Linked DNA regions of Mus musculus. The protein of the gene in region 5 purifies or fractionates together with the protein of the main gene of each other region. This does not show direct contact. Links are inferred from orthologs where the notes say so. Each region holds a gene or a part of one and is shown on either strand. Other genes may lie near its edges.

Evidence for each region.
Region 1: the proteins of Nfkb2 (region 5) and Map3k14 purify together in Homo sapiens (affinity purification with mass spectrometry; 6 studies listed by BioGRID and IntAct, with this or other methods). This does not show direct contact. The link is inferred for Mus musculus from reciprocal best matches to the Homo sapiens genes NFKB2 and MAP3K14.
Region 2: the proteins of Nfkb2 (region 5) and Chuk purify together in Homo sapiens (affinity purification with western blotting; 4 studies listed by BioGRID and IntAct, with this or other methods). This does not show direct contact. The link is inferred for Mus musculus from reciprocal best matches to the Homo sapiens genes NFKB2 and CHUK.
Region 3: the proteins of Nfkb2 (region 5) and Fbxw11 purify together in Homo sapiens (affinity purification with mass spectrometry; 8 studies listed by BioGRID and IntAct, with this or other methods). This does not show direct contact. The link is inferred for Mus musculus from reciprocal best matches to the Homo sapiens genes NFKB2 and FBXW11.
Region 4: the proteins of Nfkb2 (region 5) and Fbxw7 purify together in Homo sapiens (affinity purification with mass spectrometry; 7 studies listed by BioGRID and IntAct, with this or other methods). This does not show direct contact. The link is inferred for Mus musculus from reciprocal best matches to the Homo sapiens genes NFKB2 and FBXW7.
Region 6: the proteins of Nfkb2 (region 5) and Nfkbib purify together in Homo sapiens (affinity purification with mass spectrometry; 4 studies listed by BioGRID and IntAct, counting the BioPlex papers as one, with this or other methods). This does not show direct contact. The link is inferred for Mus musculus from reciprocal best matches to the Homo sapiens genes NFKB2 and NFKBIB.

Annotation. Positions count from the first base shown.
Region 1 is NC_000077.6:103,264,602-103,268,597, forward strand, and holds the start of Map3k14 (mitogen-activated protein kinase kinase kinase 14), read right to left. Parts: upstream 2,801-3,996; 5' UTR 2,737-2,800; intron 1-2,736.
Region 2 is NC_000085.6:44,076,478-44,079,977, forward strand, and holds part of Chuk (inhibitor of nuclear factor kappa-B kinase subunit alpha), read right to left. Parts: intron 2,509-3,500; coding exon 2,412-2,508; intron 1,964-2,411; coding exon 1,816-1,963; intron 903-1,815; coding exon 769-902; coding exon of another isoform or gene 603-768; exon of another isoform or gene 1-602.
Region 3 is NC_000077.6:32,641,340-32,645,354, reverse strand, and holds the start of Fbxw11 (F-box/WD repeat-containing protein 11), read right to left. Parts: upstream 2,801-4,015; 5' UTR 2,465-2,800; coding exon 2,420-2,464; intron 1-2,419.
Region 4 is NC_000069.6:84,965,577-84,969,076, forward strand, and holds part of Fbxw7 (F-box/WD repeat-containing protein 7), read left to right. Parts: intron 1-1,863; coding exon 1,864-1,987; intron 1,988-3,500. UniProt on the Homo sapiens protein: Substrate recognition component of a SCF (SKP1-CUL1-F-box protein) E3 ubiquitin-protein ligase complex which mediates the ubiquitination and subsequent proteasomal degradation of target proteins.
Region 5 is NC_000085.6:46,304,408-46,308,494, reverse strand, and holds the start of Nfkb2 (nuclear factor NF-kappa-B p100 subunit), read right to left. Parts: upstream 2,801-4,087; 5' UTR 2,492-2,800; coding exon 2,471-2,491; intron 2,213-2,470; coding exon 2,131-2,212; intron 2,010-2,130; coding exon 1,969-2,009; intron 1,725-1,968; coding exon 1,626-1,724; intron 1,554-1,625; coding exon 1,402-1,553; intron 1,132-1,401; coding exon 1,025-1,131; intron 936-1,024; coding exon 777-935; intron 540-776; coding exon 435-539; intron 323-434; coding exon 237-322; intron 151-236; coding exon 12-150; intron 1-11. UniProt on the Homo sapiens protein: NF-kappa-B is a pleiotropic transcription factor present in almost all cell types and is the endpoint of a series of signal transduction events that are initiated by a vast array of stimuli related to many biological processes such as inflammation, immunity, differentiation, cell growth, tumorigenesis and apoptosis.
Region 6 is NC_000073.6:28,758,538-28,761,091, forward strand, and holds the end of Nfkbib (NF-kappa-B inhibitor beta), read right to left. Parts: intron 1,729-2,554; coding exon 1,640-1,728; intron 1,560-1,639; coding exon 1,290-1,559; intron 668-1,289; coding exon 566-667; 3' UTR 501-565; downstream 1-500. Other genes in the region: Ccer2 (coiled-coil domain-containing glutamate-rich protein 2 precursor), read left to right, coding at 118-207. UniProt on the Homo sapiens protein: Inhibits NF-kappa-B by complexing with and trapping it in the cytoplasm.

The DNA.
Region 1 (3,996 bases), on a different chromosome or scaffold from region 5:
TTACCAAGTGAACAGAGTGCTCGCACTTGAACAGCTCGCCCTACCCGAGAAGACACGCCACCGTTCCTTTCCCTTATTCGGGATCCTGGTGTGCAGGGAGGGCTGACTTATCCAACTCTCCAAGCCCACCCTTCTCCCCACCCACCTCACGATGGTGCCACCAGAAGTGCCCAGGGTGCTCAGAGGTCTCCAGTTTAACTGAAATGCTAAAACGGGGCAAACAGGAAGCATCACACACAACTGCGGTAGTGACTTATTAATCACGAAAGCAGAATTTTAGTTGCATTTTAACCTTTTGCCAGGAAAAAAAGAAAAAAAAAGCATCTAGCCGATGGGTGCTATCGGAGGAGCCGTCTGTCTGTCTGTCTGTCTGCATGTGCAGCGAGCTGACCTGCTACTGGGTCTGAATTCAGTTTTCAGTTTTCTTTTTTCTTCTTGGGGGGAAAAATCTGTCAAGCCAATCAGGTCTTCCCGGGGGAGAAGCACCTGTAAGAAGCCCATGTGCTGTCCACTGAGACAAGAAGTTAAAAATAAATAGATAAATACAAAATTAAAAAAAAAAGAAACTAAAAGTGACTTCACAGGCAAACTCTTAAGACAAGGGGGGGGGGGGATGGCCTAAAGGAACAAGCGTAGATCTGAGCTTTTATCCGTTTTACATCCGACCGATCTCCTCCCAGCCCCTAGCTCAGAATGGACCCTAGAACTCACCAAAAATCTCACAACAGTTGTCTGGGGTGGAGCAACCAATCAGGGCGAGCCCTGTCCTCTCCAGCCCGAGCCGATCACAAAGGAATCTGTGTTCATCAGGGGAACCAAAATGAGGAACCACACTCCTATCTGCCAAGAATGAATGGCAAAACCAGGCAGGTTTTTTTTTTTTTTTTTGAGATAAAGGTTCATTTGGCAGAGTCTCTGTCTGTGGTGCCACTCCCACAAACTCTAACAGACACCAGAGGCAAACAAAACAAAACAAAACAAAACAAAACAAAACAAAAAAACCAACAACCTTCAGAACTGCTCCATCCACCCCAAAAACAATCCGAAAATGACCTGAAGCCTGAAGCCTGATCACGTAGTACTATTTGATTTCACAAACTTCTGGTATGTATTTCTGGGTATGTACAGCTGGGCACTTATTTCTAAAATTAAAGTCAGACATACTAACTATTATTATGAGCTGTTCTGAGAAATTTATCACACTCTTCCAAATAAATCAGGATGTCTTCTTTCTTTCTTTTTCCTCTCTGGTGCTCTGAGACAGGGCCTTGCTATGAAGCCCTGACAGGCTTCAAAGTCACAACAAATCCTCCTTGTCCCAGCCTCCCAGTGATGGATTACAGGTGTGTGCCACCATGCCTAGTTTTCAAGATGTCTTAAGGGCGTCTGAAAAACTCATAAAGCTGGCATCCATCCAAAGGAATTGCCTTTGACATCACTTTAAATACAAGAGGAAATACACACATACATCATAAGCAAGTCAAGAGTCTTCAAAGCATCCTCTCACATTAACAGCAAAAAGATCACCCCAACCCCCCCCCCTTTCTCTATCAAAGTTAGGTTATGCTGTTCTTATTCAGGGATCTGGAGAACTCACCCTCACTCATGGCTCTGAGGCCACAGACGAGGCATATCATCCCTCACACCTGGTTCAGGTACTTCGCTTACCAACTGGACAACAGTCTATGCATCTGACCACACCTACCACTAAATGGGAAAGTTACTAAGCAAAACCCTGCAGAACTGAAGTTAGGAAACAATCCTCTAATCTTTCAGAGAGACTATGTTTCTAGATACTCGCCAGTGTTCCGAAGTCCACTGGTCATGGTGCCACTCCTCGTTCAGTTCATTCTTTTAGCGCCCTTAATCCAGTCATTAGTGTTCATTGTCTCCAATTAACAACAACAACAACAACAACAACATGTCATTAAGACACTGATATTTGAAACTTTTCTCCACTCATCCACTTGACAGCCCATGCACACCCCTATCCATCCTTTAGGGCTGTCAGCCATCTTTTAATCTCAACTGGGGGGTGGGGAGTGGAGGGGGGGAGGTCTGAAGTTAATGAACATGATGAGGTTCCAAAGCAGGTGGGAATCTCTGCCTCAGACAAATGTTTCTTTTCACTTGGTGACAGGTGGCTGAAAGTTGCCAGAGCCGGGAAGAGCTTCCAGGACGGGACTAGTACATATAAACAGATTCCAAAAGTTCCGAGTAGAACACAGAATTAGAGAAGGGTAAGGACCATCGAGGAGGGAGGACAGCACCATCAGCGACTAGCATTGCTCTACTGAGTGCCCAGAGCAGTGATCCTCTCAGAACAAGTGATCCCAAGCAGTTCAAAGGGAAAGGCTGCTCATGTCACTGCTAGGGCAGTGGAGCGATCACCTTCTCTTGGGGGACACTTAGGAGCCAGGTCTGCCAGTAGGGCGGCTGAACTCGATGGCACGGATGTTGGGGAAAGGGAAGCAGACAGTACCCGCGCGCGTTCCGGGCAAGCGTGTGACCCGTGGGTGCGCGGCCTGGAGGTTCTAGGCGAGCACGGCGTTTCGAGCGTGGCGCTGATGGCGCTGAGCGTGCGAGCGGGTTAGACCGTAGTCACCCGGCCACCCCTCCCAGCCATCCCTCGTGGACAGCCCGGCTGCAACCCAGTCCCCGCCTGGGAGGCGCCCCTTCCCCGCCCGCTCCCTCGGCGTCCCGCTTTAGGACTCGGGGTTCTGCCCAGTCACCTACCGGCGGAGCGCCGTTGTCCTCAAACAAGCGAGTGTGGCGCTTCGCTGGCCAGCGATCGCTCCGGGCCCCTGCTGCCCCTCCTCGACCACGCCCCCGTGCCTATCCCCGCCCCGGGCCACGCCTCCCCCCGTGGCTGCGACTTTGCTAGCTTCCCGCCTCCTTTCTTTGGCCGCACCGCGACCCTTGATCCCACCCATTCCTATAAGTTAGCCAATAAAACGCCTTGATCCGGTCGGCCTGCCGGCCACTCCTCAGCAGCGATTGGCTAGCGAGGCCTCCCCAAAATGGGCACTGTTTCCGGCCAGGGTATCCAGCGCCGAAGGCTGGGTGGATGGGCGGTCTGTAGGCGAAGGAGGCCAGGGTGTTGGTTGAACTACACATGCGCTCTCGCCTTCTGGCAAATCTTACGGGCTGCATTCTTTTTGAGGTTACGGGAAGGAAGGGCGACTGTACGCATGCGTGGGCATTCCCGGCTTCGGCTTTGGTTACCTTGGAGACGGCGGGGCGCTCTCGCTCTGAGGTCTTGGGTTTCTCTGCTTTCTGCTTGAGGGCGAGGCTGCTTCGTGGGGGCCTGGTGGGGCCAGAAACATTTTTATGGAGCACGTAGAGTGAGCCCGGTTCTGTAAAGTGTGTGGAGATGAGGTTGCTCTGCCTACCCTCGAGAAGTGTGGGGAGCCAAAGGCCTATGTAGGACAGACCGGGTGTTGAAACGCTCTAAGGGAGTGTGCAGATGTGGTACAGTCTCCTTCCACCCCGAGAAGCTTCATGGTGTGTGTGCTGAGCACGGGATCCATTCTAAACTACAGAGTCAGGAAGACTTGGTCTTTGAAAACGTGCTCTCTACAGTGCCCTTTTTATGGGGCCGGGAAAGAGTGTAGGGAATTTATGGATTTTTTTTTTCTTTTCTAACTTTGCTAATGGGCTTCCTACTGTACCACAAGCTTCTGTTTACTGGTAATAAGAAATTACAAATATGTGTTTTTTAAAAAAATGTTTCCAGAATAAAAGATGCGCTGCGACCTTAGAGACTCTGCAAGGAATCCTAACTGCAGATGCAGGGACTGGTGGTATGGTGGGAGTGGCAGCCATATTCTTGGCTGGTTTGAGAAATAAGGAACGGCCTGTCTGGAAAGGTTTGAGCCAGGGCCAGACCACTGTCTGCTTGTGACCACTTTGCAGACCTAGCTTCTTTCTGGAGACAAGTTCAAGCCGACATCTGTTGTTGGACACCGAGAAAGGCCATTCATTTAGACAATGTGG
Region 2 (3,500 bases), about 2.2 Mb from region 5:
TCTCCACTCTACTTGTTTACATGCTCATCCTGGGCCACACAGTTAGTGAGCCCGAGACCTGCCCTGGAACTCGCTTTCTTTACAAGGAAATACCTGGAAGCGCTTGCCTTCCTGCCATGTGCTTGCTCTCTCATAAAGGCAGCACAGAGCATGCCACTATGTGACCTCCCGAGCAGCCATGTAACATGAGAGCATGTCTGTAAAACTAATCAGGGGGAGACCTGTGGGAAGTGCTTGGTGCTGTGGAGGTCTCCATGAGCCGAGAGAAAAGCGACAGTGCACAAGCTAGCAAAGAGCCTCCTGACCACGGCACACCTTACGCTGGGAAAATAACAGACGGACAGACATTCAGCTTTAAGCAGAAGAGGAGGAACTAGAGACAAAATACAGCGCTGCAAATCTGAGTTCTTACTTGCAAATGATTTAAAGCACTGAAAAATTTTAATTTAAGAAATAGACCTCACAAAAGCCAGGCGTGGTGGTGCACGCCTTTAATCCCAGCACTCGGGAGGCAGAGGCAGGTGGATTTCTAAGTTTGAGGCCAGTCTGGTCTACAGAGTGAGTTCTAGGACAGTGAGAACTATACAGAGAAATCCTATCTCCTATCTCCAAAAACCAAAAACCAAAAACCAAAAAAAAAAAAAAAAAAAAGAAGAAGAAGAAAACTGAGAGCCCGGGTCTGAAGGCACCATTAACCACCATGCTTGCCACCTCTGTCCTCCCCCTTTCCCTGAAACACAACTGCCTATTGTTACAAAGTAAACCCACCCATCTTGAGGAGTTACCACACATGTCAGAGGATGTTCACGGTCTGCTAATGTAGGGGGCAGCCATGCTGATACTGGAGGGGTTACTGTGCCTTCTAGACTGTATCCTACAAGAGAGCGGGCAGAACTCTGTGTCTGAAGGAAAAAACACATGCACACACACAATAAGTTACAGGCGAGCACCTGTTGATTCACACCATTTAAAAAAAACTATATTCTAAGATATATAATTCAATTATTACTTTATAAAACCTGGACTGTTTATGAACAAAACTAGTCTCACCTCTATTAAATATACTGTAATCTCTGGCCCCTTTTCTTCACTGACTAAAACTGAGTGTTTCTATCTACACAGACTAAAGCTAAATGAGTCGAATACCTCTAATTCAGCTTTTGTTTGGGGGAAGGGGACAGCTGAACAAGGCTGACTTGTTAACAAGTCAGATGCATTTACTCCATGTTGGGTTGGGCAACCACAGTGATCCAGAGTAGGGAGGACTGTAAAACGGGGACTGAGCTCGGTATGGTGGCTCACACTTCTAATCTCAGCAACTGGAGGCAGGAAAATTGCTGTGAGGTAGTTTAGCTTCCAGTCTAGGCTAGAGAGAGCTTTTATCTCAAAAGAAACAAACAACCACACATATACCACCACCACCATGTCCACCACCACCACGTCCACCAGCAGCAGCACTGGAAAGGAGAGTGATAATACAAACATCCTATCTCTATAATTACTTGGATACTGAACAAGGAACGTGTGAACCCAATATAAAGTATAAATATTCGCCGGGCTGTGGTGGCATACACCTTTAATCCCAGCACTCAGGAGGCAGAGGCAGGTGGATTTCTGAGTTTGAGGCCAGCCTGGTCTACAGAGTGAGTTACAGGACAGCCAGGGCTACACAGAGAAACCCTGTCTCAAAAAAAACAAAAAACCTACCAAACAAAAAAGTATAACTATTCAAAGGACATACCTTAAAGCAATAAAAAAGCCTCTGTGGCAGAAAATAACAGTAACTCAGTATTACCTTCACTAATAATTACTTACACAGGCAATTTTAAGGAGGTGCCAAATTTCTTTCTGCCTCTTTCCCTGCATAAACATGACAGTATTGTCAGCTTCTTTGATGTTACTGAGGGCCACTTCCACCTTGGGGAGTAGATCAATAATCTTCTGCTTGCAGCCCAACAACTTGCTGGAAAGATTGAGTCAGTGTCAGATACTTGCCACACCTCTCTGTATAACTGTCCACCATGCCCCACCCAGAGGAGACAAAGCACAACCAGCACACCAGTGAACGGATGGCCTCAAAAGCAGTGAATGAGGAGCCAGACACATAGCTCAGAGGGTCAGAGCACTGGCTGCATTTCCAGAGGACCTGGGTTCAATTCCCAGCACCAGTCACATCCATCTGTAAGTCCAGTTCCACATCTTATGCCCCTGGCCTCACATACGTGGGGCAAGCATACAGGCAAAATACCCATACATATAAATAAAATAGAAAGTAATGCATATGTTCAGGGCTTACACAGCACCATGTTTTATAAGATACTGACAATTATTATTTATCAAAAAGGAGTATTATGATTTTTAAGGAACACAAATATAATGGCATTTAGGAGGGAATAAAGCAATTTTTCTACCTCAGGTGACCAAACAGCTCCTTGAGAACACGGTCCTGACTCTGCACGGTGTGCACGATGATCTTCACCATCTCTGTGCTGTCGCTGTACAAGTGATCTAGAAACGACTTCAGTTAGTAGTCTATACAACCTCTCCTTTGCAGAACACATCAATTTCCAAACAGGACGTTCCTTAAAGATGCTCAAAAAGCTGCAAGCAGTCTACACAATTTCTCCTTTTGCTGAAGAACACTGTCCTTGAAGTGTGGCACTGCTGTTGTCTTAGCTCTCAGCTGTCACAGCTCTCAGAAGCAGTGACTACATAGGTAAGGTGAGGTCCACTAACGGTCTGCCATGAAACAGAGAGGGGTGCAGGAGGCCTTACCCCTCTTCAAGAACCTAAGAGGTTCTCTTGCAGAGAGACAGAAAGAGGAGAGATTTTCTTCAGAAATGTAGCTCCTGAAGCACCTCTAAGTAATCCTGAGGAAATTCAGATTTGCCAAACACGACCAGGACAAAGTCATGACTTGTCTGTCACTGGTGTACTGTCTGGGGTAAATGGACTGTTCACATCGCCCCATGAAAAACTACCACACCATTTAAATTAACACATGGATTTAAAAAAAATTTAAATTAACTATAAATTCTAAGACATTGAAGTATAGTTCATTGACAGCTATACATCAAAAATTAAAGTGACAAGGCTAGGTATAGTTGTCAAAAGCCCTTGCTGCTCTTCCAGAGAACCCAGATTTGTATCCCAGCACTCAAGTCAGGTGGCTCACAAGTGCCTATAACAACATCTCCAGGAGAATCTGATGCCCTCTTCTGGACTCTGGGTACCCCTATACAAATGAAATACACCCACACGTACAGACATACATATTTTCTAAAAAGTAAATTTATGCATGGTTGTATGTTTAATTCTTAAGAGACTTATGTTGCCTGTGTTTGAGAGAATAGTCTGGTTGATTTAACCCTTACTAACCCAAATTCCAACACAGATGCAGCCCTTGGCCAGGAGACTAGTTTTCTTACACGATTAACACTGCTTACTTAGAACAGTGGGTGGGCCAGGCTTTCACTGCCCTAAACAGGTTGCTGGGAACT
Region 3 (4,015 bases), on a different chromosome or scaffold from region 5:
TACATAAACAACTTTTTTTTTAATTAGATATTTTCTTTATTTACATTTCAAATGCTATCCGGAAAGTTCCCTATACCCTCCTCCTGCCCTGCTCCCCTACCCACCCACTACCACTTCTTGGCCCTGGCATTCCCCTGTACTGGGGCACATAAAGTTTGCAAGACCTAGGGGCCTCTCTTCCCAGTGATGGCTGACTAGGCCATCTTCTGATACATATGCAGCAGAGACACGAGCTCTGGGGGTACTGCTTAGTTCATATTGTTGTTCTACCTATAGGGTTGCAGACCCCTTCAACTCCTTGGGTACTTTCTCTAGCTCCTCCACTGGGGGCCCTGTGTTCCATCCTATAGATGACTGTGAGCATCCACTTCTGTATTTGCCAGGCACTGGCATAGCCTCATACGAGACAGCTATAACAGGATCCCTTCAGCAAAATCTTGCTGGCATATGCAATAGTGTCTGGGTTTGGTGGCTGATTATGGGATGGATCCCCAGGAGGGGTGGTCTCTGGATAGTCCATCCTTTTGTCTTAGCTCCAAACTTTGTCTCTGTAACTCCTTTCATGGCTATTTTGTTCCCTATTAAACAACAACTTTTTAAAGATATTTTGTCGCCAGGCAGTGGTGGCACACGCCTTTAATCCCAGCACTTGGGAGGCAGAGGCAGGCGGATTTCTGAGTTGGTGGCCAGCCTGGTCTACAGAGTGAGTTCCAGGACAGCCAGGGCTACACAGAGAAATCCTGTCTCCAAAAACCAAAAACCAAAAAAAAAAAAAAAAAAAAAAAAAAAGGTATTTTGTTAAAATAACTATCAAAGTTTCCCAAACTGTTATAACCAACAATTCGATTCTGAAAATGGAAAAAAGTCCTCAGAACCTGAAGATAAAGTGACAGAATTCCTTTCAACACATACAACCAACCAGAAACTTCCAGGTTTAATTTTCAACAATCCAGTTCTGCACATTGTGCAGAGTCCAGCAGACATGAGACTCTGTATTTTATGCTACTATACTTCCATTTTAAAACGTGTACCTCAGCTCCCTGGATAACATCATCCACAGAAACCATGAGGCTATCCAACAGACTTTCAGTATCACCATTTATTATTTATAGCATTAAATGGGGGAAGTGGCTCTGATGTCACCAACCCTACCCAGTGGAATCACTGACTCAATAAGCGATTCACACTGGAGAAACTCTGACGAGGAAAACATCTTGCTAAGTTCAGCAGATCTTTCACCTTTTCTTAATACTGTGGAGCAGATACTAGTTGTTACTATATCAGTAGAGATACAAAGAAAACTATCAAGGTTTTCACAGGAAGAAGCCCTTTGTATGTTCATTTGCAGAGGCTGATTTCCTCCCCAACTCTCCTGGGCCCAGTTTGATTTCCCTCACGTTCAAACTGGCAGGTAATACCAGTCAGCCATACTTTATTTCTTCCGCCAATGAGCAAATCCTTCACTTTCCCAGACTCAGAGTCCTGTTTCCAAAAACCTTTCTAGCACCAAGTCTGAGGTCAGAAACGGGTTAGGGGTGTCCGGGGAGACCTGACCAGGCTGGCTACCAATGGTTCCTAACAGTACAGGGATCGCTGCTTATCCGTGGGCCAAGAAACCCCCCTCCCATTTTTTATTATTAAAATAAGAGAGGGTGGCAGTGATGAGCGCGACCTCTTCTCCCTCCCCTCTCATTTCCCAAATGATAAAAGTTATGGTTTCCCTTTCCTGGGGGATGGAATTCAAGAGTACCTAGGGCCTTGCTATACAAACATCCTTCACGGCAGGGTAGGAAACCCTTTGTCCAAGAAGCCTGACACCGCAGGGGCCCGGAAAATAGGCCCCTTATCCGGAACAGCCTCAGACTCGTAGGCACCCCCAACATCCCAGTCCAATGGGGCTATCCTGGCATCCATACAGCGGTAGCTTGGGGCGAGGGTGCTGAGACCCACCCCTACCACCCACCCCACCCCACCCCACCCCACCCCCCGCGCCTAGGTTATGGAGGCCGAAGCGGCTCCAACTGGTCTCGGACTCCCTTCCACCACCATCACCCTCAGCTTGAGCGAGGCTGGGAGGCGCGATGCAGGCCCGGCCAGAGGAATCCAGGGAAGGGAAAAAGAAATCCCCTTCTAAAAACAGAGTGTGATGGCAAGGCAAGAGTGAGCAGTGGCTCCGGCAGGAGCGAGGCTGGGGCGCCGGAGACTGGCCGGAGCCCGGCAAGGAGGGGGTTGGGGGAGCCGCGGGGAGTGGAGGCCGTGCCGGCCCAAGAGCGCGAAGCGTCAGCAACGAGCCATAGCAGGGGGGCGGCCGGGCCCAGGCGGCGGGGAACGAGGGCTGGCCTGGCGCGGACGCCGGGGTGGGCAGGCCCCCCGGCCGCCGGCCGGCCGGAAGAACTGAAGGCCAGTGGGCCGCACTCACCATGAGCTCGATGGTCTTGTCTTCAATCACCGAGTCGGGCTCCATGGCGGCCCCGGCGGCCCCGCCTCGCTCTCTCCGCTCAGCAGCGATCGGCCCGGGCGGAGGAGGCGGTGGCGGCGGCGGCGGTGGAGGCAGCTCTCGCACCCACTCTAGCTGCCAGCCCGCCCGGGCCGCCCGCAGCTCCGCCCTCACCCTCGGCCGACGCAGGACGCACAGCGAAGACTACAACTCCCGGCAGCCGCGGCGGCTCGCGCAGCTTTGTGGGAGCAAGAAGCCGCTTGGTCCAATCTGCCGGCTTCTGCCACCGGAGAGAGCACCTAGGGGAGCGCAGGGCTGTGAGTGCCGGACGTGCAGAGCTGGAGTATCTAGGGCTTGCTCGCGATAGGGCCTCGCGAGCGCCGCGACTACTTGTCCCAGAAATCCTCGCGCGCGAGGTCTTCTTCCGGTTGGTCGTTCCTGACTTCCTGGCAGCCCGTAGCCGCACGGACCTGGACGGAAACTCCGAGGCAACTCCTCACTTGTCGGAGATCTTTGCAGTGCGAGCGAGCGATCTCCGCACATGCGCAGTGGGTGTCTGCGGTGCCCACTAGTCGTCTAGGCTGCAGCGCTGCCGTTCCGTGTGTGTTGCATTTGGTAGGGACAGATGGTGGAGACAGGTGGGTCCCAGGTTGCACTAGGAAGTGTGGGAGGGGGCCCGCGAGGTCGAAGACACAATTAAAGGAAGATGGGCATCTAAGAGTTTGGAGACTGAGCTGGGAAAGCGGTGTGTGGAGATCTGCCACACTGACTGGGAGGAGCTGAGCCATGAGAAAGAAGCTATACATTTTGAAGACACTTTTTTTTTTTTCCGAGACAGGGTTTCTCTGTATACCTGGCTGTCCTGGAACTCACTTTGTAGACCAGGCTGTCCTCGAACTCAGAAATCTGCCTGCCTCCACCTCCTCAAAGGCGTGCGCCACCACCGCCCGGCCGAAGACACTTATTTTTAAGCATTCAGTTTCTACTAGTACTGCCCTAAGCACTGGGAATGACCGGAGAGACCTCTGTTCTTATTCAGCTTAATTCTAGTGGGAAGACAGCAGACATTGACTAAGAGTTAGAAATGATATGAAGAAACGCATCTAGAGACTTCAGAGAACCTCTAACTCCTTGTGACTTCCAAGTCTGTCAATACCCTCGAACCAAAAGCCCCCAGGAACACGCTGATAGTTGAACAAGGTGGGTTTTTTCCTAGCTGAAGTAGAAATGAACATACACCATGATGAAGCAGGGACGTCTCAGTAAGAGACCTTAGGTAATGTAGAAAAGGATTTGAAGGGGCTTTGGAGCAGATACTGCCGGGAAGTGGGGGTATAAGACTGGGCACCTCAGCCTTATCTATGGGAAGTTATATTAGATTAAAACTAATCCAGTAATTGTTGACAGCCTCTCCTGTTAGCCAGATTCAAGTGTTTAGTCTTGTAGCTGTGTTTCAGGGACTTGGACAATGTCCATGTTTTATCTGTGTTCACAAATGATTATGGGGTGGTCTTGTTTTTGTCTTGATCCATAAGCTAAGGCCACAGAATGGCCTTGTCTAATGTTGACGGACTGTTA
Region 4 (3,500 bases), on a different chromosome or scaffold from region 5:
TGTGAGAGTCACTGAGTTTCTTCAAGAATTTTTTCCCTAGGTTATCTAAAGGCTGGCTTTAGTTATTTGGTTATTTTTTTAGTTATTTAGTTGTGTTTATTATTTATAGTGGATGTTTTCAAAATTCTGGGTTCATTAAGCAGCAACATTATTTTTGTTTTTATTTTGTTAATTATCTAATGCCCCTTCAAATCAGAAATTTTATAATTGTTGTATTTCTCTGGTTATTACATTATACAATTTTTTTAACATATAGAATTTTACCTATATTCCTTTTTGGCATTTCTACTAATCATCATCCATCAGAGAGAGAAAGAGAGGAGAGAGAGATGACATAAAAATTGGATTCTTACAGCTCTTAATCATATAGCCATGTGTGGCTTATAGTTTAAATATAATGCACGTATTGACATTAGACTTAATAGCTTAATTTTTATCAAAAGAAAGGAATAATGTGATATTAAATAGTATCCTCATAGCCTATATTTTTTAAAATTACTATATACATGTAATAAATATCAGTTAAATAGCACAAAAAACTAACACATCATTCATACAATGATCCTGAACCCTCAAATTTGAACAGAAAGAGTTTTGCTTGCTCTTTTCTTAGATAATTACTCTAAATTCCTAGTGGTGTTAAATATAGTCCTAGATATAATCTGGCATTAGATTTGAGTAAAATCAGTGGAGTGAAGTACAACTCTGGGGAAAAGCAAAATTGATATTCCCCCCCCCCCCCGGTATCTTTTCCCTTTTGGAGTACTTTTTAAAAATGACATTGTCCCAGAAGAAAAGTGTTTATTCTTGTGCCCTTTTTCTACAGCAGAACTCTTTGAATAAACTTAGAAAAGTAACATGAGATCTCCTTTGCTTCCATCGGGGCGTAAAATAATAGGGGACATTTTTTGTAAGTGAAGTAGATATTCATCTTGATTATTTTACATGGCCGATACCCTCCTCTAGAATATGCATATGTGTAGTATGTTCATGTGTTCAAGTGGGTGTACATATGTACATGCAGATGTGGTCTACCACTGAATCGAGAGCTTACCCATTCAGCTAGAGTGGCAGCTGTCCAGTGAGCAGTGACTGTAGCTAGAATTGCCATGCCTAGCCTTTTACAAGATGGGATCCAAGCCCTTATCTTCATCATTACACATGAAATGTTACTGACTGAGTCATCACCAAGCTCCAGAATTTGAAAGTGTTTTAGAATTTAAGAAGTAAGCACAGGTGATTAACAAAAGGCAAAGCCCCAAAAGATTCTCTTGCCTTCGGTGTTCTTTCAAAGACTTCCTGAGGAAAAAAGATGTTCGGAAGGAGAGAGCCCTGGCTTAGCATATCAGCTATGGTGTTTTGTTTCCTGCTACTGGGGTGTTCTTCACTTGGGAAGTGCTTTATGTCTATGTGGAAGAATAATGGTATAGGCTTAACCCTATAGGGAATTATGTTATTTAAAACTTTATTACCATTTATTACACAAAATGTACTTGTATATATATATATTTTTGATAATTGGTGTGAACAATTTCAAGTCTCTTTATCAACATTTATTTAGGTTATCTAAGTGCTTGAGCACTAGGCTCACACAAGAAACCTGTGATAAGTGGCATTGCTCTCACCTTGTAAGTAAATACCAATAAAATCACAGGTCACCCAGAATAAAGCCTCAGATTCCTAATATGAGATTAGTGAGCATTTTCTTTGCTCTTAAAATCCTGCTTTTCTTGATTTGTTCAGCCACTGAAATGCAGTAGTCCTAGCAAGATGCTCAGCCTGGGTAGAGTAACCTTTTTTTCTGTGATTTTTTTTTTTTTTTTTTGAAGTGTGAGTATGCCTTCCCTATTTCCTTTTCCATAGTTGGCACTCTATGTGCTTTCATTCCTGGAACCCAAAGACCTGCTGCAAGCGGCTCAGACTTGTCGATACTGGAGAATTTTGGCTGAGGATAACCTTCTCTGGAGAGAGAAATGTAAAGAAGAGGGTAAGTTCAGAATCACACACAGATGTGTTTCTACTCTGGAAACAAGTTAACAGAATAACTTGGCTGTGAGTGAGAGTAGATGGCTGGCTCAGGTGCCTGCCAGAATGCGTCTGCGTCTGTTCACTTCCTTGATCCCAACAGGAAAGGAGGCCACCTGATTTAAAGGAAGCCACAAATCTGCAGTTAAATACCCACAGAATTGAGTATTGTATATACTCCTCGAATAAACACTTACTGTGCACCTCCTGTGAGCTGAACATTTGTAAATGCTGGGGACATGGCACTGCTTCATCCTAGTCTCCCTGTTGTGGACCTTCTATTATTAAGTATAGTTTAGTTTGGCTTCAAAGGGAGAATCTTCTGTTTTGTAAACAGGTATCTAGAAAAGTAATCATTTAGAAAAAAATAGCTGTTTCTGAGGGGCAAAATGCTTGAGGGGGGAATGGTAATGCTCTGTTCTATAGATCAGGCCCCTTGGCAGCCGTGTGACCAGGTAGAGAGCACTGACGAGTGAGGCGGAGGAGGGAAGACTCCAGGGTAGGATCTCAGGTGCTTCTTGCTGAGCCTGGTTCTACAGTCAACCTCTGGCTGTTCCTAGATTAACTGATAAGATCCTCTTCTTAAGTTGTGCGGGTTTTTTGTTTTGTTTTATGTAAACCACGGTGAATCAACTCTGCCTTACCTTCTTTCTCAGAATCTTTTTTCCCCTTGAGACAGGGTGTCTCTATACAGACCAGGCTGGCCTTGAACTCATGAAGATCCACTTTCCTCTGCCTCCTGAATTAAAAGGATATGGAATTAAAAGGGTATGCCACATACCTAGCTTAAGAGTTCTTTTTAAATGTCCTCTTAAAAAACTATATTTCGTAAAAATGATTCTGAACAGCTTGGTTTATATAGCAAGTTCCAGGGCAGTCCAGACTGTGATAATAACCTGAGGTAATGGGGTTCATTGTACTCATAGCACTTAGGAGGCAGAGACAGGATTGCTGAAAGCTAGAGGCCATCTTGGTCTCCATAGTGAGTTCAAGCCATTTTATTGAGTAGGATGCAGTGATATTCTCCCCATTCTTCCATTCCTGTTGCCTACATGCTTTATAAGTTTACTGTTGTAGGAAACTATGATAAGTGAAATTATACAACATTTGTCCTTTTGTGATTGCCTTATTCACTGAGCAAAATGTCACAGCGTGTATCCCCGTGTCCTCTGTTAAGGCGAGCAGCATTTCAGGGTGCACTGCTGCATTTGGTGTTCATCTATGGAAAGGCACGGTGACTTGTATGGACAGCCGTTCACATCTCTGCTTTTCATCCTTTTGCATATACATGCAGAAGTGAAAGTCCTGCATCCTGCACTGCGTTTGTGTATTTAGGAGTCACTGTGCTAATTTCCACAGCAGTGCACATACAGTCTCATCTTTGCGTGTTCATACCAGCACCTCCCACAGTCACTGTGAGAGAGAATGGAGATAGAACAAATGGAGGTTCAGTGCTGCACAGCCCAGTATCTGGG
Region 5 (4,087 bases):
GCCCGACTCACCTTCCACCAGAGGGTAATATGTGAACTGTTTGGAGTCCGAGACATCGCCCCCACGCTTGCGTTTCAGCTGCAGGAACACCGTTACAGGCCTCTCGATCTTCATCTTGTGATAGGGCGGTGTCCGGAACACAATGGCATACTGGGGTGGAGGATGGGAGAGCAACATGGTGTCAGTAAGGTTTCTTCGTAGTTCTGTCTCCAGGACAGGCCCTAGTCCCTCAGTACCTGTTTATGAACGTCTGTGGGAGAGAAGTCCCCAAAGGCTTGCCATCCATTCTCATCATCCTCATAGAACCGAACCTCAATGTCGTCTACAGAGAAAAGTGCGGCTTAGCCACAGGGAGAGCCTGCAGCCCCGCTGCATGGATCCCGAAATTACCCTTACAGCCAGCGTTTCCAGCTCCCAGAGGGCTTCTGCCTCACCTTTTTGCACCTTATCACAGAGCAAATAAACTTCGTCTCCACCGCGCACGGAACCCGCTGTCTTGTCCATTCGGGAGATCTTCAGGTTCGAGGCCCCTGGAGACTCTATAAGGTGGGGGATGGGTTAGGGACACATTGATGGGATCGGAGGCTCGGTGGGGTCATTATCAAACTTCAGGAAATGCAGTATTCACATTTACCACTCAGAAGCAACACTCAGATGTTCTGACTACCGAGCACTCACCACCCCACACGTGGCAGGGCCAGGTTCAGACCCATAGCTGGAAGGTATCTCAAGCGCTCTTTTGGGAATGCATGCTTGGCCCCCTGCAGAATACTCACTGCTGTCATGGATGGGCTGGGAGATCACAGGCTTCAGGGGCAAGGAGAAGGAGCCATCGCTAGCTCGAAGGAAAGCTGAGAAGCGCAGCCGTACAATGCTCAGATCCATGACTTTCTTCAGCTCCTTGGCCTCCTGCTCTAGCTCCCGCCGCTCAGCCTCTGGATGGACAATGTGGGTGGTGTGAGCTCTGGGCTGCTCTTCCCGGCTCCTCTAGGAACACCTCTCGGAACACCTTTTGTTACCATACCTGTAAGGCCCTGAGGCTTGGAGCGGAGACGCTGCCTCTGAAGTTTCTGGATCATAATCTCCATCATGTTCTTCTTGGTTACATGCAGGACACCCAGATTATTAAATCTGGAGAGGACAAGGAGGAGGCTTTGTCCTCTTTGACCATGAGGCTCTTTCCTCCTGAGGCACCTCCACCCCCACGCTCCACCCCCCATGGTCAGGCTCATCCTGGCTCTGTTCTCCAAGGAAACTGCTCTTTATAGTTGAGCTCTGAGGTTCCTGGGCCAAAGTAAATCTTCCCACTTTGTGTGCTAGTCACACAGGTGGCCTGAGATGAGACCTAAGGCTGGCAGGCAATGAGCATCCCACTGGGGGCCAGGGGCCAGGGCCACCTACTGAGCAGTCATGTCCTTGGGTCCTACAGACACAGCGCACACTCCCAACTCTGAACACTGCTTGCCCACCAGACTGTGGGCATGCGCACGAGGTGGGTCACTGTGTGTCACCAGGTCCACCTCAATCTTGGCCGGTCCCTCATAGTTACAGATCTGAGAATGGCAAAGGATAGTCAGTAGTTGCCCCATACACCATCCCTACCCTCCGGTGTCATCTGAGCTCACCTTGACAGTAGGATAGGTCTTCCGGCCCTTCTCACTGGAGGCACCTGGCAAACCTCCATGGGAGGGGCCTTCACAGCCATATCGAAATCTGAAGCCTCGCTGAAGGTTCCATAGCAGAGACATTGTGATCAGGAGAGGCAACCCCCCCCCCCCCCCCGTCATCCCCACAAGGCAACCACTAGCCATCACTGACCACAGTGACCAAAAGTGTACCTCCTTCTCATAAGCCCCCAACATATCAGCAGCAAGCTATTTAATCTGATCAGTAGGTATAACTACCCTCCCCCCCCCCGCCCCACCTTTTCCCCAAAGGTGAAGCCACCACTCTCTGTCACTCACTCACCTGTTTGGGCTGTTCCACAATCACCAGATAGGGGCCATCAGCTGGAAATAGAGGGGCCTTGCTGAGCCAGGATCTCTGAGACCATCCCTCAGTGGGGCCTCCAGGGGACATGCTCACTCTCCTCTAGGTTCTGAGATACTGCGAGGCCAAAGACTTACTGACCTGTCTCAGGGGCTGGATCCTTAGGCTCCACGATGGAGGGGCTGAATTCAAAATCATCATATTCGGGGATGCCATCCAGGCCCTGCGTTATAGACAGAGAAGGTGGCAGCTGAATCAAGGGTCCCCCCAACCACCCCCTCCCAAGCCCTCTGCAGTCACTCCCTGGACTCCTCCTCAAGCTATGAGGAAGCTCATTTCTGGGCAGGGTTTGCAGACAGCACAGACTGGCAGACTAAGACAATTTGAAGACAGTGCAGAAGTAGGGGAGTGGAGGAGCGTCCAATTGACAAGCAGACACAGAGGGCACCCGCCGCCCTCAGGGTCAGGCAGTGTGACTCACTGGATCGTAGCAATTGTCCATATCTCTGGGCTAGGCCCTGCTGTGTCTTGCGGCTTCGGGCCCCGGTTCAGCTTTCCAGAGTTTCGGACGCCCGCCTAAGGTGAAGAGAGGCGTGGGAGGGGGAAGAGTGAAAGATATCAGGATAGGGGTGGGCAGGGGGAGAGGGATGGGTAGGGGAGGGGGGCTCAGATCTGGGGGAGGGTCCGATCTCCTCCAGCCGCCCGTCCGGGCGTGGCGGGTAAGATCCGGTGGAGGTCGAGATCCGGAGCGGGGCTGGCCCGGGAAAGGGGCAGAAAGTTAGTGCTGCTTAGGAAAGTCCCGAAAATACCAGGGGGAGGCGGAGCCGGAGGGGGCGGGCCTGGAAATGACGCCGGGGCCACGCCCCCGCAGCGGGAGGGGCGGGAGGCCCAGGCGGTTCCTGGTTCCCGGGCAGCCTCTGTAGCCCCTGGGGCTCAGTCGGGGCCTAGCCGCCTCGCCCCCTCTCCGCAGCCTGGAGCAAACTTGGGATTTTCAGCCAGCGTGGAGGACACGGCTGATTCACCCAGGGGCTTTTGTGGGGACATTCCTGCCGTCGGAGGCCCCTTTTCCGAATGGCCCGTAGGCGGGGGTTCTTCCAGTGGGGCCTCCGGGGCTCTGACCAGAGAATATGATTCGGGCCTCAGGGTGTGTGTGGGGGGGAGGAGTTTCCCCCTCCACGGTCTCTAGCGATTCCGTCTTAGCTTCCCGGATTCTCCCGCTGCACCTGCTCCCGGTGGCCGGTCAAACGGGAGCATCCCGCCCTCCCTGGCGACTCCAATCCCAAAGCCAGTGTAACGCGCATGTGTCCGTTGCAGGAATATGCGTTTCAGCCCTAATGTCTTGTGTGCCGGGTGAGTGGTGGCATCATGGCACGTGCAAGTGAACGTTCATCCACACAGGTGAGTCCTTGTACTGCCCAGTGTGGGCACACGTCCGTGCACGTCTGGATGTCCGTGCGCAGGCGCCGGTGCACGGGTGCGCTGTGAGTGCGTGTGCGGGGCTCACACCGGCCGGCTGTGCACAGGCAAGCTAAGGGCAGGCAGACGTGTCGCTGATGTGTAGCAAAGTGTCCTGTTCCTGTGCGCGCTCACTGGAGGTGGCGTCCAGCCCCAGCCTGTCATCTAAAGTCCTCCTTCCCTCCCTCTCCATTCCCTAGACACTCAGGGATCTGAACCCGGCCACTCACCGTGGTGGCGGCTCTGGTTCCGACTTCTTTCCGAGCCCTTCCCCGGACCGGTCGTTGCTCCTCTCCAGCCAAAGGGCTCCAGCCGGGAAAGCCCCTTTCGGCCCCCCGAGGGGGGGAATTCCCGTGACGATCCCGTGCGTCACTCCCCATGCCCTTTTTTATTGGTTGAAAGTTTAACTCCAGGACTCTTGTAGCCAACCCGGAGCAACGCAGGCGCGCCCCTTTCGGGGAAGGCTCGCCCAGGACTGGCCGCGGGGTGTCACCCAGCTCCAGTTCTGCTAGGGACCAGCGAGGCGGGACGACGGACCCAGCGCAGGGCGCGGCTCAGATCTCTGCACTCTTCCAGGCTTGCCCGGGACCGTTACGGAGTCCAGTGGGCCACTTGGCTCTTGCTGTGCCCAGAGGTTGGCTAT
Region 6 (2,554 bases), on a different chromosome or scaffold from region 5:
GTCCTCACTGACTATGACACACAGCTAGGACAGGATGTCAGGCCAAGCATATGAAGTGGCAGAGCTGCTATTCACAGTGGCCATCGAGGTGGTAACCATACTTCTGATCTCCCCCAGGAACACGATGTGGAGCGGCTGGAGCGCATGCAGGAGCAGTTAAAGAAGGCTACCGCCATGCTAGGGGAGGCTCTCGGGAGGGAAGGCTGACCCCACGCCACTCCTTCCCCACACTCCCTGAGGCTCAGGACTGTTGACCTCAGAGCCTCCTTTCACCGGGCATTCTGCTCCACTTCCAACTGGTAGGGACTGGAAGCAAGGATGTGCCTGAGAACCAAGCCTGAGAGAAGCCTATGGGCAGGGGCTGGGCTCCGGCTGACTCAGGACCCCGCCCACCCCTCCATCCCTGAGTGAATAAAGCACAAAGCAAAGCACCCGGGCTCGCATCACACTTCGGCTCTGGAGGGTCGGGACCTGAAATAAGCAGGAAGGCAGGGTCAGTCTGGGCTCTGGTTGTCAGGTCTGCAATTTTATTAAGTTGGAAATTATATTAATATTAGCACTTAAGTCAGGCAGGGTTGGGGTCATCAGGAAGAGGTTTGGATGCCGGGGAAGGCGGTTGTCGGTTTTGGCTCCTGCCACTGTGAACCACGATGTCATCATATTCATCCTGGGAACAGAGAGGGGTAGCACAGGGTCAGGCAGCTGCCACCTTGCCCACTACCCGGGTCACAGCACCCAAAGAATGGGTGTCACCGTGAAGCCAGTGTTCTCACTCTCAGCACACCATACTGGTGGCCACGGCTCCGCGCTGCTTTCTCCCACCACTGCATGGCTCTTCTCCCCGAGCTCCCATCTCACCCACCCCTGCCTGGGTGGGCTGTCCCCTGGGTTCTTCAGTAATGCTCCCCCTCACCACTGGCTGAGGTCTTTCCCTACCATCAAGTGATCTAGACACTCTAACCGAGGTCACCAACCTACACCGCTCTCCATCTGCTGCTCCCAACGTCACTCCCCACATAGGGTCTCACCATGCACCCCTTGCTGGCCTCAAACTCACATCCACTGCCTCTGCCTCCTGAATCCTGGGATCCTAGGCTAAAGGTGTGTGTCACATGACAGATGGCCTTAGCTGTCCAGCTGCCACTGCCACCCTTGCCCAAGTCTATGACTGTTCCCCACATCTCCTCGTGTGTCCCTCCTCTGGATTCCCCGACAGTATCCATCCGGTTAGGTTTTCTCGTTGCTGGTTTACCCCGACCCTCCAGCTGGGGTACCCACTCCCAACTCACGCCCTCATCTCTGTTGTCACTGTCACTGTCGCTGCCGCTGCTGCTGCAAGGGCTAAGCTTATCGTCCTCGTCCTCAGGTTCAGGGGCCCCATGTGCACGGAGGAGGCGGGCAAGGATGGGGTTGGGCCGGAGCAGGGCACTGCCAAGCGGGGTGCGGCCCCCATACATGCGGGCGGTGGGGTCAGCACCGGCTTTCAGGAGAAGTTCCAGCACGCTGGCTGCCTGGGCTTCTACTGCCAGGTGCAGAGGGGTCCGGCCACACGTAGGCTCCTGCAGGATGTGCCAGAGAGGTCAGTGAGACTGAAGAGAGGACAGTGCCTTCCCCACACTGGCCCACCACAGTGTCTTACCGGTTTATTGAGGTCGGCTCCGGCATCCCTGAGCAGCCGGACCATCTCTGCATCTTTGTGGATGACAGCTACATGGAGTGGGGTATGGCCTGGGAACAGAGCAATTGGTGTCAGATGATGAGGTAAGAAGCCTTGGCTCAGGCTAGAGAGATGGCTCAGCGGTTTAGAGCACTGACTGCTCTTCTGAAGGTCCTAAGTTCAAATCCCAGAAACACATGGTGGCTCACAACCACCGGTAATGAGCTCTGACGTCCTCTTCTGGTGCATCTGAAAACAGCTACAGTGTACTTAACATATAATATAATAAATAAACCTTTAAAAAAAAAAAAAAAAGAGAAGCCTTGGCTCTGTGTTCATCCTAGGAAAGGGCCATGTGAGCTAAGGATGCCAATATGTCAGGTCCCAGGGCTGGCTTCTCAAGTCCTTCCTAGGTATGCATACAGGCTCCTGAATTCCAGGTGCAAGCCTAAGTCTGCTGTGTCTGGGATCTACAGGGCATGAGACCGGGGACTCTAAATGAAAGCACACGCACATGATCTGTGGATCAAGCCGCCAAATCTTTGATCTTCCTCCACAAAGAGCAGAGGCCTGACCAGCATGCACAGCCCTTGAGTTCCAGCCCCAGCACCATAAATAAAACAAAAGATACAGTGACAATAACAGTAAAAGTCCCCAAAAGGGCCTGGGGCTCAGGACTCTGGCTATCAGATGACCTCAGTCTATTCATGAGGCGGGGCTGAGAGGGTAACCCGCATCCTCTGCCCCTGGCTGGGGACATGGGATGGATCCTCTCATCATGGTCAGGCTGGGCTGGTGGCTCATACTCGGGAACAATTCTGGAGGGAAGTCACCTTGCAGATGGGTAGCCCTGGTTTAACCACTGTATCCTGGCATCTCTGGACCTGTGGCTGACAG